3 linked regions of the Oryctolagus cuniculus genome follow. The protein of the gene in region 3 purifies or fractionates together with the protein of the main gene of each other region. This does not show direct contact. Links are inferred from orthologs where the notes say so. Each region holds a gene or a part of one and is shown on either strand. Other genes may lie near its edges.

Evidence for each region. Proteins that work in one complex are often made in the same cells at the same time.
Region 1: the proteins of EIF4A1 (region 3) and EIF4G3 purify together in Homo sapiens (co-immunoprecipitation; 6 studies listed by BioGRID and IntAct, counting the BioPlex papers as one, with this or other methods). This does not show direct contact. The link is inferred for Oryctolagus cuniculus from reciprocal best matches to the Homo sapiens genes EIF4A1 and EIF4G3.
Region 2: the proteins of EIF4A1 (region 3) and IBTK purify together in Homo sapiens (co-immunoprecipitation; 4 studies listed by BioGRID and IntAct, counting the BioPlex papers as one, with this or other methods). This does not show direct contact. The link is inferred for Oryctolagus cuniculus from reciprocal best matches to the Homo sapiens genes EIF4A1 and IBTK.

The regions. Positions count from the first base shown.
Region 1 is NC_091438.1:149,845,221-149,850,041, reverse strand, and holds part of EIF4G3 (eukaryotic translation initiation factor 4 gamma 3), read right to left. Parts: intron 2,702-4,821; coding exon 1,877-2,701; intron 1-1,876. UniProt on the Homo sapiens protein: Component of the protein complex eIF4F, which is involved in the recognition of the mRNA cap, ATP-dependent unwinding of 5'-terminal secondary structure and recruitment of mRNA to the ribosome. Functional homolog of EIF4G1.
Region 2 is NC_091436.1:90,251,995-90,256,815, forward strand, and holds part of IBTK (inhibitor of Bruton tyrosine kinase), read left to right. Parts: intron 1-1,656; coding exon 1,657-1,774; intron 1,775-1,860; coding exon 1,861-2,041; intron 2,042-4,666; coding exon 4,667-4,790; intron 4,791-4,821. UniProt on the Homo sapiens protein: Acts as an inhibitor of BTK tyrosine kinase activity, thereby playing a role in B-cell development. Down-regulates BTK kinase activity, leading to interference with BTK-mediated calcium mobilization and NF-kappa-B-driven transcription.
Region 3 is NC_091448.1:52,143,326-52,147,978, forward strand, and holds the end of EIF4A1 (eukaryotic initiation factor 4A-I), read left to right. Parts: exon of another isoform or gene 1-12; intron 13-293; coding exon 294-433; intron 434-711; exon of another isoform or gene 712-856; intron 857-1,169; coding exon 1,170-1,338; intron 1,339-1,446; exon of another isoform or gene 1,447-1,593; intron 1,594-1,686; coding exon 1,687-1,796; intron 1,797-1,921; coding exon 1,922-2,065; intron 2,066-2,147; coding exon 2,148-2,285; intron 2,286-2,368; coding exon 2,369-2,458; intron 2,459-2,495; exon of another isoform or gene 2,496-2,639; intron 2,640-2,699; coding exon 2,700-2,779; intron 2,780-2,874; coding exon 2,875-3,019; 3' UTR 3,020-3,545; downstream 3,546-4,653. Other genes in the region: CD68 (macrosialin), read left to right, coding at 4,138-4,183, 4,280-4,653. UniProt on the Homo sapiens protein: ATP-dependent RNA helicase which is a subunit of the eIF4F complex involved in cap recognition and is required for mRNA binding to ribosome.

The sequences.
Region 1 (4,821 bases), on a different chromosome or scaffold from region 3:
CAGATCGGCATAGCTCTGGACGTAGTGGCCATTTGGGGAGTGAACCAACGGAAAGAAGACCTTTCTCTCTGTCTCTCTTTCCGTCTAACTCTATCTGTCAAATAAATAAAATAAATAAATAAAATAAAAATATACAGGACCATTTAAAAACTGACGAGAAAAATAAAACTTTCTAAAGAAAAAGTGGGAGATCACTCAACTAAGATTTAATCAGAGAAATAATTTTAATTTTCTGAAGTAAGGGCTGGCATTGTGGCATTGTGGGTTTTACTGCCACCTGTGATGCCAGGATCCCAAATGAGTGTCGGCTGGAGTTCTAGGTGCTCCGCTTCCAAGCCAACTCCCTGCTAATGCATCTGGGATAGCAGCAGAAAATGGCCCAAATACCTGGGCCTGTGGCACCCACGTGTGAGACCTGGATGGCTTTCCAGATTCCTACCTTCGACCGGGCCAATGCTTGGCCTTTGTGGCCATCTGGGAAGTAAACCAGTAGAATGGAAAGCTGTCTGTCTGTCTTGCTCTCTCTTTCTCTTTCTGTTAATTGTGCCTTTCAAATAAGTTTTTAAAATCTAAAAAAAAAAAAAAAAATTTAGAATAAGGGTGTTGGCGCTGCGGCATAGTAGGCTAAGTTTCTGCCTGGAATGCCAGAATCCCATATGGGTACAGTTCATAAACTGGCTACTCCTCTTCTGATCCAGCTCTCTGCTGTGGCCTGGGGAAGGACTGGAACATGGCCCAACTGCTTGGGCCCATGCACCCATGTGAGAGACCTGGAAGAAGCTCCTGGCTTCAGATTGGCCCAGCTCCAGGCACTGCAGCCATGGGGGAATGAACCAGTGGATGGAAGACCTTTCTCTCTGTAACTCTGCCTCTCAAATAAATAAATCTTTAAAAAAATTCATGGCCGGCGCCTCGGCTCACTAGGCTAATCCTCCGCCTGTGGCGCCGGCACACCGGGTTCTAGTCCTAGTCGGGGCGCCGGATTCTGTCCTGGTTGCCCCTCTTCCAGGCCAGCTCTCTGCTGTGGCCAGGGAGTGCAGTGGAGGATGGCCCAAGTGCTTGGGCCCTGCACCCCATGGGAGACCAGGAAAAAAAAAGCACCTGGCTCCTGCCATCGGATCAGCGCGGTACGCCGGCCGCAGCGCGCCGGCCGCGGCGGCCATTGGAGGGTGAACCAACGGCAAAGGAAGACCTTTCTCTCTGTCTCTCTCTCTCACTGTACACTCTGCCTGTCAAAAAATAAATAAAAAGAGAAAAAAAAAATTCAGAAGCAGTCATAAATCTTTATGTTTGATTGCCATTATCCTAAAAAGATAAAAAAAAAAAGGAGCCATGCATAAAGAAGGTCCTTTAAGTTTATGATGACTAGGTTTCTGAATTCTGAGAAGACAGTATTAAGAATTATACATTATGCTAGCTTCGACTGGTTCCTAGGTCCAAAGCAACACAATCAACCACTGAGGAACTGATTCATAAGAACAAGGCAAAAAAAAAAAAAGAAAAGAAAAGAAAAGAAAAGAAAAGAAAAGAAAAGAAAAGAAAAGAAAAGAAAAGAAAAGAAAAGAAAAGAAAAGAAGAAGAAGAAGAAGAAGAAGAAGAAGAAGAAGAAAAAACAAAATATGAACCAAACATGTATAGTGACATATACCTTGGAGACATTTGTATATTTGGAAATTCTCATTTGCATTTTTAGACAATGGAGTAACTTTTTTGCAGACTGTACTAAAACACAAACACATCACTGAAGAAATCAGACTAGGAATTTCAGCATTCAATGGATGTTTCTGGAAGTCAAGGAAAGTAGGCCATTAAACAATAACTCAAACAGCACCTCTTCTTCAGTAAGCATAAGAGTATTAATGGCAGAACAGCTTACCTGGGATGGGGCTCTTTCTTGAATTTAAGCTCCGAGAATCCATAATCTCTTCTGTTTGCCCATCTGCTTCTGTTTTGCTTTGAGCCTCTTTTGAATCTTCACTAAGGCAAGTTCTCATGCTTTCTTCCTCTTCTAAGACTCTCTGGACTGTGGGAGGAGCACTGGAAGTTGTGACTGCAGCAGGAAGAAAGACTGGAGTAGGAGGAGGGGAAGCTGGAGGAGTCGGAGGGGCTGGAGAAAAGGAGGGAGCTGTGGACGGGGTGACGGGAGCTGAGATACACTCCACTTTCATTTCTTCTGGAGGATGTTCCAAAATCTCCAATTCAAGAGTCAATGGTAACACTTCTTGCTTCACTATTTCCACAATGTTCTCCGTGGCTAGCAATTTTTCACTAACTCCATTCATTTCGTTAATTAGGTTAGTACTAGAAATTAGTGGCATATCATTAGGTGCTACACTACAGGGTTTCTTGCATACATCATCGTCAGTCTTCTCTGTTGGTGATGGCTCTGACGTATCTGTGCAAGATGTGGGGCTAGGTATAGGGATTGTGTCTTCTTTTGAGGAAGAGAGTTCACATCTGTCATCTACAGCAGTGGTGAATAATGGCTGGCTACTAAGAGCAGCAGAGCTGGGGGAAGCAATTGTACTTCGAGCAACTGGAGAAACAGTGGCAGGTGACGGAGGCAGAGGAAGCTCTGGTATGGTTTCTACTGCAGTAGTCTCAGATGTCTGACCTGTTTGTTCTTTCTTCTCCCCACTAAGGACTAGTCTACGAACTGGGGAAGGAGACTTTAACACTGGATCTGGTTTTGGCTTCTCTTCTGGGAAAGAAAAAAATAAAAGATTTTTAAGAATAATTCTGTATCAGAGACTGTACTGTATTTCCTTGGGTCAATTCTTTTTAACCTCTAACCCTAAATCACAAGTAGCACAATAGAAACCAAAATATTAGACTTAAGTAATACTCCAAAAAATGTTTTTTTTTCCTTAGTTATACTATCACTTGGTCTCCAATACATAGTTTAATTTGAAGCAAGGGAAGCAACCAGTTAACAAAATAATTATGTTAAAAAAAAAAAAAAAAACAACAGAAAAGCTCATCAAAATTGAAGCTCAACCATTCTTGGGTTGAGAGTAGGACTTTTCTGTAAGCGGGGAGACCATATCTACCAATCCTGTTTCCTATGGAAAATTTATCTACCCATAGTGAGATACTACCAAGGATAAATATTAGAAATAAAATTATTATAAAGAAATTGATGCTATGTTTCATTCTATAGATTTCTGCAATTGGGTGAATTTTATAAAACATGTATTAATTGTACAAAAATACTATGTCTTAACAGAAACCAACACAGTGTTATTTCTTAATGATGAAGTTTATTATCACTAAAATCAATTTCCTGAACATAAAGTGCAGTTTAAAAATTTATTTAAGGTTTTTTTTTTTTGGACAGGCAGAGTTAGACAGTGAGAGAGAGAGAGAGAGACAGAACAGAGAGAAAAGTCTTCCTTTTCTGTTGGTCCACCCCCCAAGTGGCCGTTTCCGCCAGCGCACTGTGCCGATCCAAAGCCAGGAGCCAGGTGCTTCCTCCTGGTCTCCCATGTGGGTGCAGGGCCCAAGCACTTGGGCCATCCTCTACTGCACTCCTGGGCCACAGCAGAGAGCTGGATTGGAAGAGGAGCAACTGGGACAGAACCCAGCGCCCCAACGGGGACTAGAACCCAGGGTGCCGGCGCCGCAGGCAGAGGATTAGCCAAGTGAGCTGCGGCGCCGGCCACATTCATTTCTTAAAATAAGCATAATCAGAAATAGTGTTAAGGTATAAAAATGGAAACATATCTTCACATATAAGAGCATTCTTTAAGGAAAAACCAAAGTAAATACTCATATAAACACACTCAGTAAAAGAGAATACAACATATACATGTCTGCAGTACTGAAATTATATATAAAATACCAATCTGTGTATAGACATACAGAGAATGAGATTGAGAGAGAATCTGATGACCATTAGGGTACCAGAAAAATATAAGGAATGGTAGTTAACAAAACCCCACGTTCTAAAATTCCAGATGAGTGGATACATGGTTTATCCCTGAGTGGATGTAACTAAAGGAGATTCTGGCTTCAAGCCTTTGCTTGTTTAGCAAAATAAAAGGCTCCATTAGAAAAACAGACACTCAGAGTATGATTACCAAATGCTGACAAAAATTTTAAGCATTATTAATGACAGTCTAAAGTAAAACATACTTTACTTTCTCCCCTAGATTTGTTATGTGTTGGTGGAATTGAGTCTTTATAATAAATTGTAGCTAAGTCTGTGAAAGAGAAATAGATGACAGATACCACCATTAAGCTGTTTGCTAATTCATTCACTGTAATTACAAGACTTAAAATTCACCTTAATTTTTGGGCATGGAAGCTAGTGCTTCTACAATTTAATTTTGCCTATTTATTCTAGTGGTAAAATCAAAAGGCTCTCTGCCACATTCCTCATGCTAAGCTGCCATGGCAAGAAAAAAAAATACTTCAGAAAAGTATCTTTATTTTATATGTGTTCTATGTGTAACATATAATAAATGTGTATTTAGTAACATATTTCTGATAGAAATAATTTTCAACTCACTGGAGTAACTGTTATGGGCCAACCAGATTATATCGGAGTCCTGTGAAAGCATACTGGAATTACACTCTTAGCACTCACTGAAACCTAAATGCAGTAACTTCAAAAATAAACAAAAAAAACCCCAATAATTATCATATTAACAATCTAGTATGTGTATGTCAATTCAATGATAAATTTGGGGATATGAAATTTCTGAGATTAAAAATTGAAAGAAAAGAAGGTCTAGGGCTGAAAACTTTTACATACTATTGAGAAAAATCTAGCATTAAGAAAATTAGAAACAAAAAAGTTAGTTATTTTGAAAGCTTTCT
Region 2 (4,821 bases), on a different chromosome or scaffold from region 3:
TTTGGTAGTTGATGAGAGGGGACATGGGTCTAAAAGCCACATTCTCAGTTCTTTCTGACTTTGAACTGCACAACCATCACCAGAAAGTGCCCTTTACAACATTCAGGGCCCTATAATACATAGAACTGAGATTGGTGCTCTAAATTAATACGAAGAGTCATCACTGATAATGTGTTTTCACCTTAAACTTTTTGCGTTTCAGAGGTTAAATTTCTTTTTTTTTTTTTAGTAGAAACACTTACATGAGAGTATAGACAAAGGCTGTAAACAATAATCAAATCTTAAAATGTTCATGTAGTTTGCATTTTTTGTGCTGTGTGTATTATTACCAGAAATCAGGGAAAACATGGGATATTTGTCTTTTAGGGACTGGCTTATTTCACTAAGCATAATGGTTTCCAGTTGCATCTATTTGTTGCAAAAGACAGGATTTCCTTTTTTTTTTTTTTACTGCTGAGTGATATTCTGTAGTGTATACATACCACATTTTCTTTATCCAGTTGTTTGCAAGTTTAATGTTCTGATTTAAAAGTATTTCTAGATATACTTTTTTAAATGAACATTTAAATTCAGAACCTTTCTATTTGTTTTGATTAATGGATCAATAGAAATTGTTCAAAACAATTGGAGGTGTTCAGCCTGATACTTTTTAGAAGAAATGTAATTTCTTTTTAAAAATTTTATTTATTTATTTGAGAAGTAGAATTATAGAGAGAGAAAAAACAGAGAGAAAGGTCTTTATTCACTGGTTCACTCCCCAAATGGCCACACCGGCTGGAGCTTGGCTGATTAGGAGCAAGTAGCTTTTTCAGGGTCTTCCACGTGGGTGCAGGGGCATAAGCACTTGGGCCATCTTCCACTGCTTTCCCAGGCCATAGCAGAGAGCTGGATTGGAAATGGAGCAGCTGGCACTCCAGCTGGAGCCCACAAAGGATGCCTGTGCTACAGGAGGCAACTTTAACTGCCATGCCCCAGCTGTAGCCCCTACAATTTCTTTTTAGTCATTAAGCATTTTATAGAACTAAGAATGGCAAAAATATTCTTATTGTGTGGCAGTCTTGGAGCTCTTGTTGATAAAAGAATACCTGGTATTCTGATTTGGGATCAACTTTGACCCCTGGTAGCCATTTGACAATGCCTGGAGAAATTTGTATTCTTAACAACTAGAGGGAGTTGGTGGTGCTACTAACAGGTGGTCAGTAGAGTTAAGCGATAGTACTAAACATATGGCACACAACATAATCCCTTACAACAAAGACTTGTTTGGCCCAAGTTTTAATAGTGCCACTGTTTTAACAACCTGGGTATGTCAAATTTGAAAGTATCACATTTTCTAATAAAGAATGAGAATGCCTGTTTTGTATATTACTTGGTAGAAAAACATAAGTAACTAAAAGTTTACTAATTTGGTTTTTGTGCCATGTCAGTTTTCCATATGTTAAAACTGCCGACTGAAAGTGCATGGGAACATTGTGTTTTGAGAAGAGGCTGTGTCTCAGTATGAGTGCTAAGCTCTGTTAGCAATGATTGCCATTAACACTGGAGGGACGCTAGCAGCAAATATGCTGTATAAGTATTTACCATCCTGGTTTATTGGATCTTTGAAACATTGTACTAGATTAGGTAATCTGCAGTCTTATTTGTCTTTTTGAATAGATGCAGGCAAAATATCTGAAAGGAAGGACAATCATTGGGGTAGCAGCGGGCAGGTTTCACACAGTGCTCTGGACACGAGAAGCTGTTTACACTATGGGACTCAACGGTGGACAACTAGGTAAGAAATCGTTATTGACTTTTTAAAAAAAAATGGGCTCTTGGACAGATATTTTATGATTTGTTTATTTGTATGATTTTTTTTAGGCTATTTGCTAGATCCCAATGGAGAAAAATGTGTAACTGTTCCTCGTCAAGTCTCTGCTCTTCATCATAAGGACATTAGTGTGTCTTTGGTTGCTGCAAGTGATGGGGCCACTGTCTGTGTAACCACCAGGGGAGATATTTATTTACTTGCAGACTACCAGTGCAAGAAAATGGCATCTAAGTATGTATATTTCTGTGAAAGAAGCATAACTTTAATAATATGGGTTATTTAATAATAGTTATTTAATAATAGTTCTCTTCTTCTAGCAATTATCTTGAGTATCAGCTTAATGCTATGTTTTGTAAATGTCCGATGGGAAAGGTTGAAATGTGTTGGGGAGAGTCAGAAGTCTTTTCCTTTCATCTTAATCTTTTAGCAAGGATCCAGTAAATATGAAATTTCTCTTTGTAAATTGTAAAGCAGTATTTCTGAATTGTGTTTAACATGTGGTTAAATATGATCTATGTGATTTTTCTTTTTGTTATTGTTCATAATTCTTGGTTGTGACAATATCATCATCAGCTCATATGTAGCCTTTTTGATATTATACACATATTTTTAAAAAATAATTGTACACTTGGAACTCTATATACAGGTTCAGTATTTATCTGGCATTTTTAAAAATAATCTTTATATTTGTGTAGTCTCTTTTTAATTGCAATAAGCTAGAGGTTAGTTGACTAAGCAAAAAGATCAGAGAATCATAACATTTTTAATATGAATGGATTTACCAGTTGGAATGCCTTGTTCTTTGTGTATAAACAGTACTTATAATGTATCACCTGTGATTTCATTTTGATTAGTTTAAGGAGAAAGTGCTTAAAAACTGTTGTGAAGAAATCTAGGTGCAAAATCCTTTGTTTTTAATATATTTCAATCTTTTATAGTTGGTGAATCCATATCTATTTTTATAGCAGTTTTATAGAAAATGCTTTTGTTCTTTTTATACTACTATTTCATTAGTTTAGATAATATTTCATTATGTAATTATAGCAAAAAATGAACGCATAGAAATAGGTCTGTTGCATAAATACAACTGATTCCTAGAAGATATGACTCTTATTAGTGGAAATAGTCATAAACGTGAATTCTGTTTTTTTTTAAAGACATTTATTTATTTATTTACCTGAAGTAACAGAGAGAGAGACAGAGAAAGAGAGAGATCTTCCATAGGTGGTTCACTCCCAAATGGCTGCAACGGCTAGAGCTGGGCAGAACTGGGAGGATCCAAAGCCAGGAGCCAGAAGCTTTTTCTTGGTCACCCATGTGGGTGCAGGGGCCCGAGTATCTGGGCCATCTTCTGCTGTTTTCCCAGATGCATTAGCGTGGGAGCTGGATTGGAAGTGGAGCAGCAGGGACTTGAACCAGCACCCATATGGGATGCTGGCACTGTAGGTGATGGCTTTACTTGCTATGCCACAGCACTGGCCCTATGAACATGAATTCTAGAGAATAACTGTCTAACTTTGAAAGCAATTAGGAATTTAAATTTAAATGCAACAAAATGTGCTTTTGCTAATTAAGAGTTGGTAGCTTCTTAAACAGGTACCCTCTATGAAGTTAGCTCCTGTTCAGAAAATGTCAGACATCAGTTTGTCACAAGCTATCTTCTGTGTCCATCAATTAGAGAGTTAGACAGTGAGAGAGACAGAGAGAGAGTTATAGGCAGTGAGAGAGAGACAGAGAGACAGAGAGAAAGGTCTTCCTTCCGTTGGTTCACTCCCCTAATGGCCACTACGGCCAGCGCTACACTGATCCAAAGCCAGGAGCTGGGTATTTCCTCCCTGTCTCCCATGCGGGTGCAGGGCCCAAGCACTTGGGCCATCCTCCACTACCTTCCAGGGCCACAGCAAAGAGCTGGACTGGAAGAGGGGCAACCGGGACAGAATCTGGTGCCCCAACTGGGACTAGAACCTGGGTGCCGATGCCGCAGGCAGAGGATTAGCCAAGTGAGCCATGGAGCCGGCCAGAATGTTACTTTTAACATAATTATAATTCATATTTCTGTATAGAAACATGAAATTGTGAAAATACATGTTTTCTTAGAACTGATTAAAAAAATTTTTTTTTCTTGAGCATGGGGTGATTTGTGGTATAGTAGGTTGTATTTTTGCTTAACATTTGTAAGACTTGCTCTTGAAACAGTGCATTCTATAAATGTAAGTTATATTCAAGTTTTTAAAAGAAAATTCCTTTGTTACAAAATAAGTTATGACATGGTAATTTTAATTTCTGTGATGTTGGCAAACTGTCTGAAAGTTAGGAGTGTGATTGGAATAGCATCAGGCAGGTTTCACACAATGCTCTGCGTATCAGATAAACAGATATAATGTGTGGCTAATGGATGAGTTACTAATTAGCAATTGTGATGACTTTCGTGGTAGGATATCTATTTAGGATTGGCCACATTTCAAATTTAGTGTTTCTGTTTCATTTTGAGGTTTGAAAATTTTCTTATCTGTTAACATTTTCTTTTCTGTTGAAATGCAGTTATTTGTAAGAGGTTATAGCCTTACTAGTTATTTAAAGCCCTTGGTGAATATGTGGAGTAACAAGTGGGTTTAGGTATTTAATGGTTATGTGGATAGAGGCATTTGAGTGGGAAGGATTTCCTTCAGAAAGTAATGGCCACCTTGTAGGGAATACTTTTAGAAAAGAAAGATGAGGAATACCAATAACCAAATCATTTTACTTCACTTTTCCCTGTAATTGCCTATAGTTATTGTTTGGTAATTTCTCTAAAATTTAGCACAGGTATTCTAGAAAAAATATTCATCTAGAATCTTTTTTATTTTTTTCACCCAGACAACTGAACTTGAAAAAGATTCTTGTATCCGGGGGTCGTATGGAATACAAGGTTGATCCTGAACATTTGAAAGAAAATGGGGGTCAGAAAATTTGCATTCTTGCAATGGATGGAGCTGGAAGGGTAAGTAATAGATTTGTGTAAAAAGTGTAGT
Region 3 (4,653 bases):
TGGGACACACGGACTGCTGGCTTGCCTTTAATGAGGTACTGTTGTACACAGTTCTCACAGCCCTGTTTTCTGGCTTAGTGCAATGCTAGAGTTGGTAGCCTGATCGTTCTCTGGATTTGCCCCCGTTATGTCACCATACTGTGGTGGGGAAGGTTTGTAAGGCACTTAAGGCGTCATTCATGATTGGTTGCTTGTTGATCTCAGCTCATTGAGTTAGGCGTAAGTCAGGATTTGACTGTCCCATGAGCCCAAAGTGCAAGTTCTCCGCCAGATCTCATTTCTTGTCTGTCTAGGTTATGATGTGATCGCTCAAGCCCAATCTGGGACTGGGAAGACGGCCACATTCGCCATATCGATTCTCCAGCAGATTGAATTGGATCTGAAGGCCACCCAGGCCTTGGTACTAGCACCCACTCGGGAATTGGCCCAACAGGTGAGAACGTGGCTTCTTTCTCCTGGAGGAATAATGAGCATAGCCTAAAATCCCGGGGGGTTACTTCCAAGGAGGAAGAGGATGCTCGGGGGGTGGGGTGGGGTGGGGTGGGGTGGGGTGGGATGGGGCGGTGATTTTTAGCTGGGTTAATTATATGTCATTTCCTACCCAAACGTAACAGCTGCCACTTCTCCACCCATTTCCTGAGTCAAATGACAACACTGCTGGGCCGGGCCTGACTGGCTAGGCAAGTTGGGTGACTGTTTATGCACACCCCCCACCCCTGGCAATGGGCAAAGAGACACCTCGTTCGTGGTGCTGCTCTTATATCAGTCAGGGGCAGAGCAGATGCGCAGTCCTTTGTTCATCCTAGCTTGATGCCTGTACTGGTGGCCAGAGCTGTTTCATGCCTAGGGCACAAACCCTGATGGTAGAAGTGATTATTCTGATGGGAACCGGGCGCAGATACTGTAACCAAGAAGTGATAGTAAGCCTGTTAAGACTGAACGGGTCGTGTGGCTTGTGTTTGGGGGCAAGGGTGTAGTTGGCCGTGTGTGTGTCATGTGGCTCTTTAAACTGGCTATGAAGCGGGTAAATAAATAGACCACAGTTTTCAGAAGCTGAGGGTTCAGTTACATGTATCATGGTTGTTGGGAAGACCAAATCCGTGGAAAAGTGAGATGGGACCTGCCACGGTTGTAGCTAACAGCTGCACACCCACCTCTCTCTGGTTCAGATACAAAAGGTGGTCATGGCATTAGGAGATTACATGGGTGCGTCCTGTCACGCCTGCATCGGGGGCACCAATGTGCGTGCTGAGGTGCAGAAGCTGCAGATGGAAGCTCCGCACATCATCGTGGGCACCCCTGGCCGCGTGTTCGACATGCTTAACCGGAGATACCTGTGTGAGTAGCTCAATTTTCCACTGCCCTGTATCCCCCTCACCTTAGCCAAGCCCTCCTTGTCGGCCAGCTTCGTTCCCAAGGCCGCTCGTTCTCCCTCCCCTGAAAGCTGCTCTGTGATGAACCCCATGCGTGTCAGCTGAGCCCTGGCTTCCCTGTCCTCTCAGCCCAAGCCCAGGGAGTGTTCTACTTCCTGGGGCTGTTGATTGGCCTCCAGGGCAGCCCTGGGCAAAGGATCAATCTCTGTATTCTGAGAGCAGACTGCCTCTGTCTCCCCTGTTCTTCAAGAAAGTTGGATATATTGCCTGTTTCCCAAGCTACTACATAGTAGTATTTCTTCCATGCCTACAGCTCCCAAGTACATCAAGATGTTTGTACTGGACGAAGCTGATGAAATGTTAAGCCGTGGATTCAAGGACCAGATCTATGACATCTTCCAGAAGCTCAACAGCAACACCCAGGTGAGAAAGGCAGTGCTGGAGGAGCTGCCGGGAGAGCCCTCGCGTCTCGCACCTTCTGTGGGACTGGGGACGGGGCGGGCGTCCTGCAGCATCGCCTACCCTGAGGCTGGTCTGTGTTTCACCAGGTGGTTTTGTTGTCAGCTACAATGCCTTCCGATGTGCTCGAGGTGACCAAGAAGTTCATGAGGGACCCCATCCGGATTCTTGTCAAGAAGGAGGAGCTGACGCTGGAGGGTATCCGCCAGTTCTACATCAACGTGGAACGCGAGGTGGGGCCTGGGTGCAGGAGGCGGGCCCGGGTGGGGACCTGTTGAGTATAGCCCCTGACTGACTATTCGCCCCAACCTCCAGGAGTGGAAGCTGGACACACTATGTGACTTGTACGAAACCCTGACCATAACCCAGGCTGTCATCTTCATCAACACTCGAAGGAAGGTCGATTGGCTCACTGAGAAGATGCACGCCCGGGACTTCACCGTCTCTGCCATGGTGAGCATCCTCGCACGCCAGCCTGTGTGAGCCCAGCTCCCCTGTGCTCGTCTCGATCGCTAACCTTCGGTTTTCTCCCCTAGCACGGAGATATGGACCAAAAGGAGCGAGATGTGATCATGAGGGAGTTCCGCTCTGGCTCTAGCCGAGTACTGATTACCACTGACCTGCTGGTGAGTAGGGGGATTTCCAGCGCTGGAAGGCAGAAGAATCCAAGGTGATTCCCTCTCCCAGGGGCCCGACTAGTGCCTCTCTCAGGAAAGTAGCAACTTGGAAGAAAATCCGGCATGCCCAAGGGCTCTCAGAGACAAGGGGCCGCTTGCTTCCTTTGCCTGCCTTGGGCTGCCTACATGCACTCACTGAGCCCCTTCCGGATGGACTGTGTGCACTGAATTCTTCTCTGTCTCCACATAGGCCAGAGGCATTGATGTACAGCAAGTTTCTTTAGTCATCAACTATGACCTTCCCACCAACAGGGAAAACTATATTCACAGGTGAGTGTGGGTCTGGACCTCCTGCCTAGCCCCCTGCATCCTGGGCGGAAGCTTTGGACATCCCTCAATGCTTGCAATGTATCCTTGTGTTTCAGAATTGGCCGTGGTGGACGCTTTGGCCGTAAGGGTGTGGCTATTAACATGGTGACAGAAGAAGATAAGCGGACTCTCCGAGACATCGAGACCTTCTACAACACCTCCATTGAGGAGATGCCCCTCAATGTTGCTGACCTCATCTGAGAGGGGCTGTCCTGCCACCTAGCCCCAGCTGGGGTTCAGTCCTCAGGGGCTGAGGAGCAGCAGGAGGGGGGAGGGGAGGGAGCCAAGGGATGGACATCTTGTCATTTTTTTCTTTTTTTTTTTCTTTGAATAAATGTCACTTTTTGAGGCAAAAGAAGGAACCGTGACCATTTTAGAAACCCTTTTCTTTGGGGTAGGCTCTTGCCCCAGGCGCCGTCTCCTCCCAAAAAAACAAAAAAAAAAACACTAATCCATTTCCCTAACCTAGTCACCTCCAGGTCCCAGAGGCTCTCCCACCCCAGCTGAATCCCTCCGAACTTGATTCAGGGGCCAAAAACAAGTCACTCAACCTCATGTGCCGGACCAAACATGCAAGGAGCAGCCCCTAGTGAGGTTGCCCAGTGATTGAACCCAGCTGGGGGAGCAGGGGAGAGAAAGTGGTAGCCATTTTTACATTGTTTTGTATAGTATTTATTGATTCAGGAAGCAAACACGAAATTCTGAATAAAATGACTTGGAAACTGCCTGTTGGGCTTCTCATTTCTTCCTTCCCTCCTACCTGCTACTGGGTATGTCAGCTACCTTAACTACCTAGAAGTTACCAGAAGAAGCCATTTTCTAGGTCCAGAAAGTTGTAATAGGATAATAGGAGCTACTGAGGGCTTGGGTGTGTGCTGTCATAAGTGGTCACATGTCTCGCTAGGAGGAAGTCATGAAGCATGGTGTGTGGAAAGGGGCTGGCCAGAGGAGGGGCCTGCTGGCTATAGGGGCTGGTTAGAACCACTGGCCCTAACTGCCTAGTGAGGTTTGCTAAGGGTGACAAACGGGCCCCACCAATCAACTGCCTCACGGCTCCATCATTCTGTAGTCATGGGACAGCCTTGACTTTGGCCTTGACACCTCCCACTCGTGAGCTGGGGCCAATAGTCCCCTAACAAATGACTAGTGACTAAGAGATTGGTGGCTGGAGCCCGTGGTGCTTGAGTCAGCCTGGGGGTGGGATCATCTGTTGCAGGAAGTAAGAGACTTTCATTTCCTTTCCCAAGAGAGGGAAGAGGGAAGAGGGCTGAGCAACTGGTGTCCAGTTGAGAGTCGGCATTAGGTGAGGTGGATCTGCCATGAGGCTGCCTGTGCTTTTCCTGGCCTTGCTGGGGCTACACGCAGGTAAGAAGGGGGTAAGAAGGGGGCACGGAGGGGGAACTTGAGGAAGCCAGCCCTTTCTGGGTCGCTGACCAGCTTCTTTGTTCCCTCTGCTGAAAGCCCAGGGGACATGGCCTTGGCCTCACAAGAAGGCAGCCACTCTGCTGCCATCCTTCACGGTGACACCTACAGCCACAGAAAGCACAGCGAGCTCTGGAACAACCAGCCACAGGACTACCAAGAACCCCCACACCACCAGTCACAGCACTGCCACCCCAGGCACCACCAGCCACAGACCTACAACTGCCACTCCTACCACTGGCCACGGAAATGTCACGGTTCATCCCACGACCAGCAACACCACCACCACCACCGGGACCAGCCCTGGATTCTCCACCAGCACCCCCCACCCAGGACCACCTCCACCCCCTCCAAGTCCTAGCCCAGGCTCCAGAGAAGCGGTTGGGAACTACACGTGGACTAACGGCTCGCAG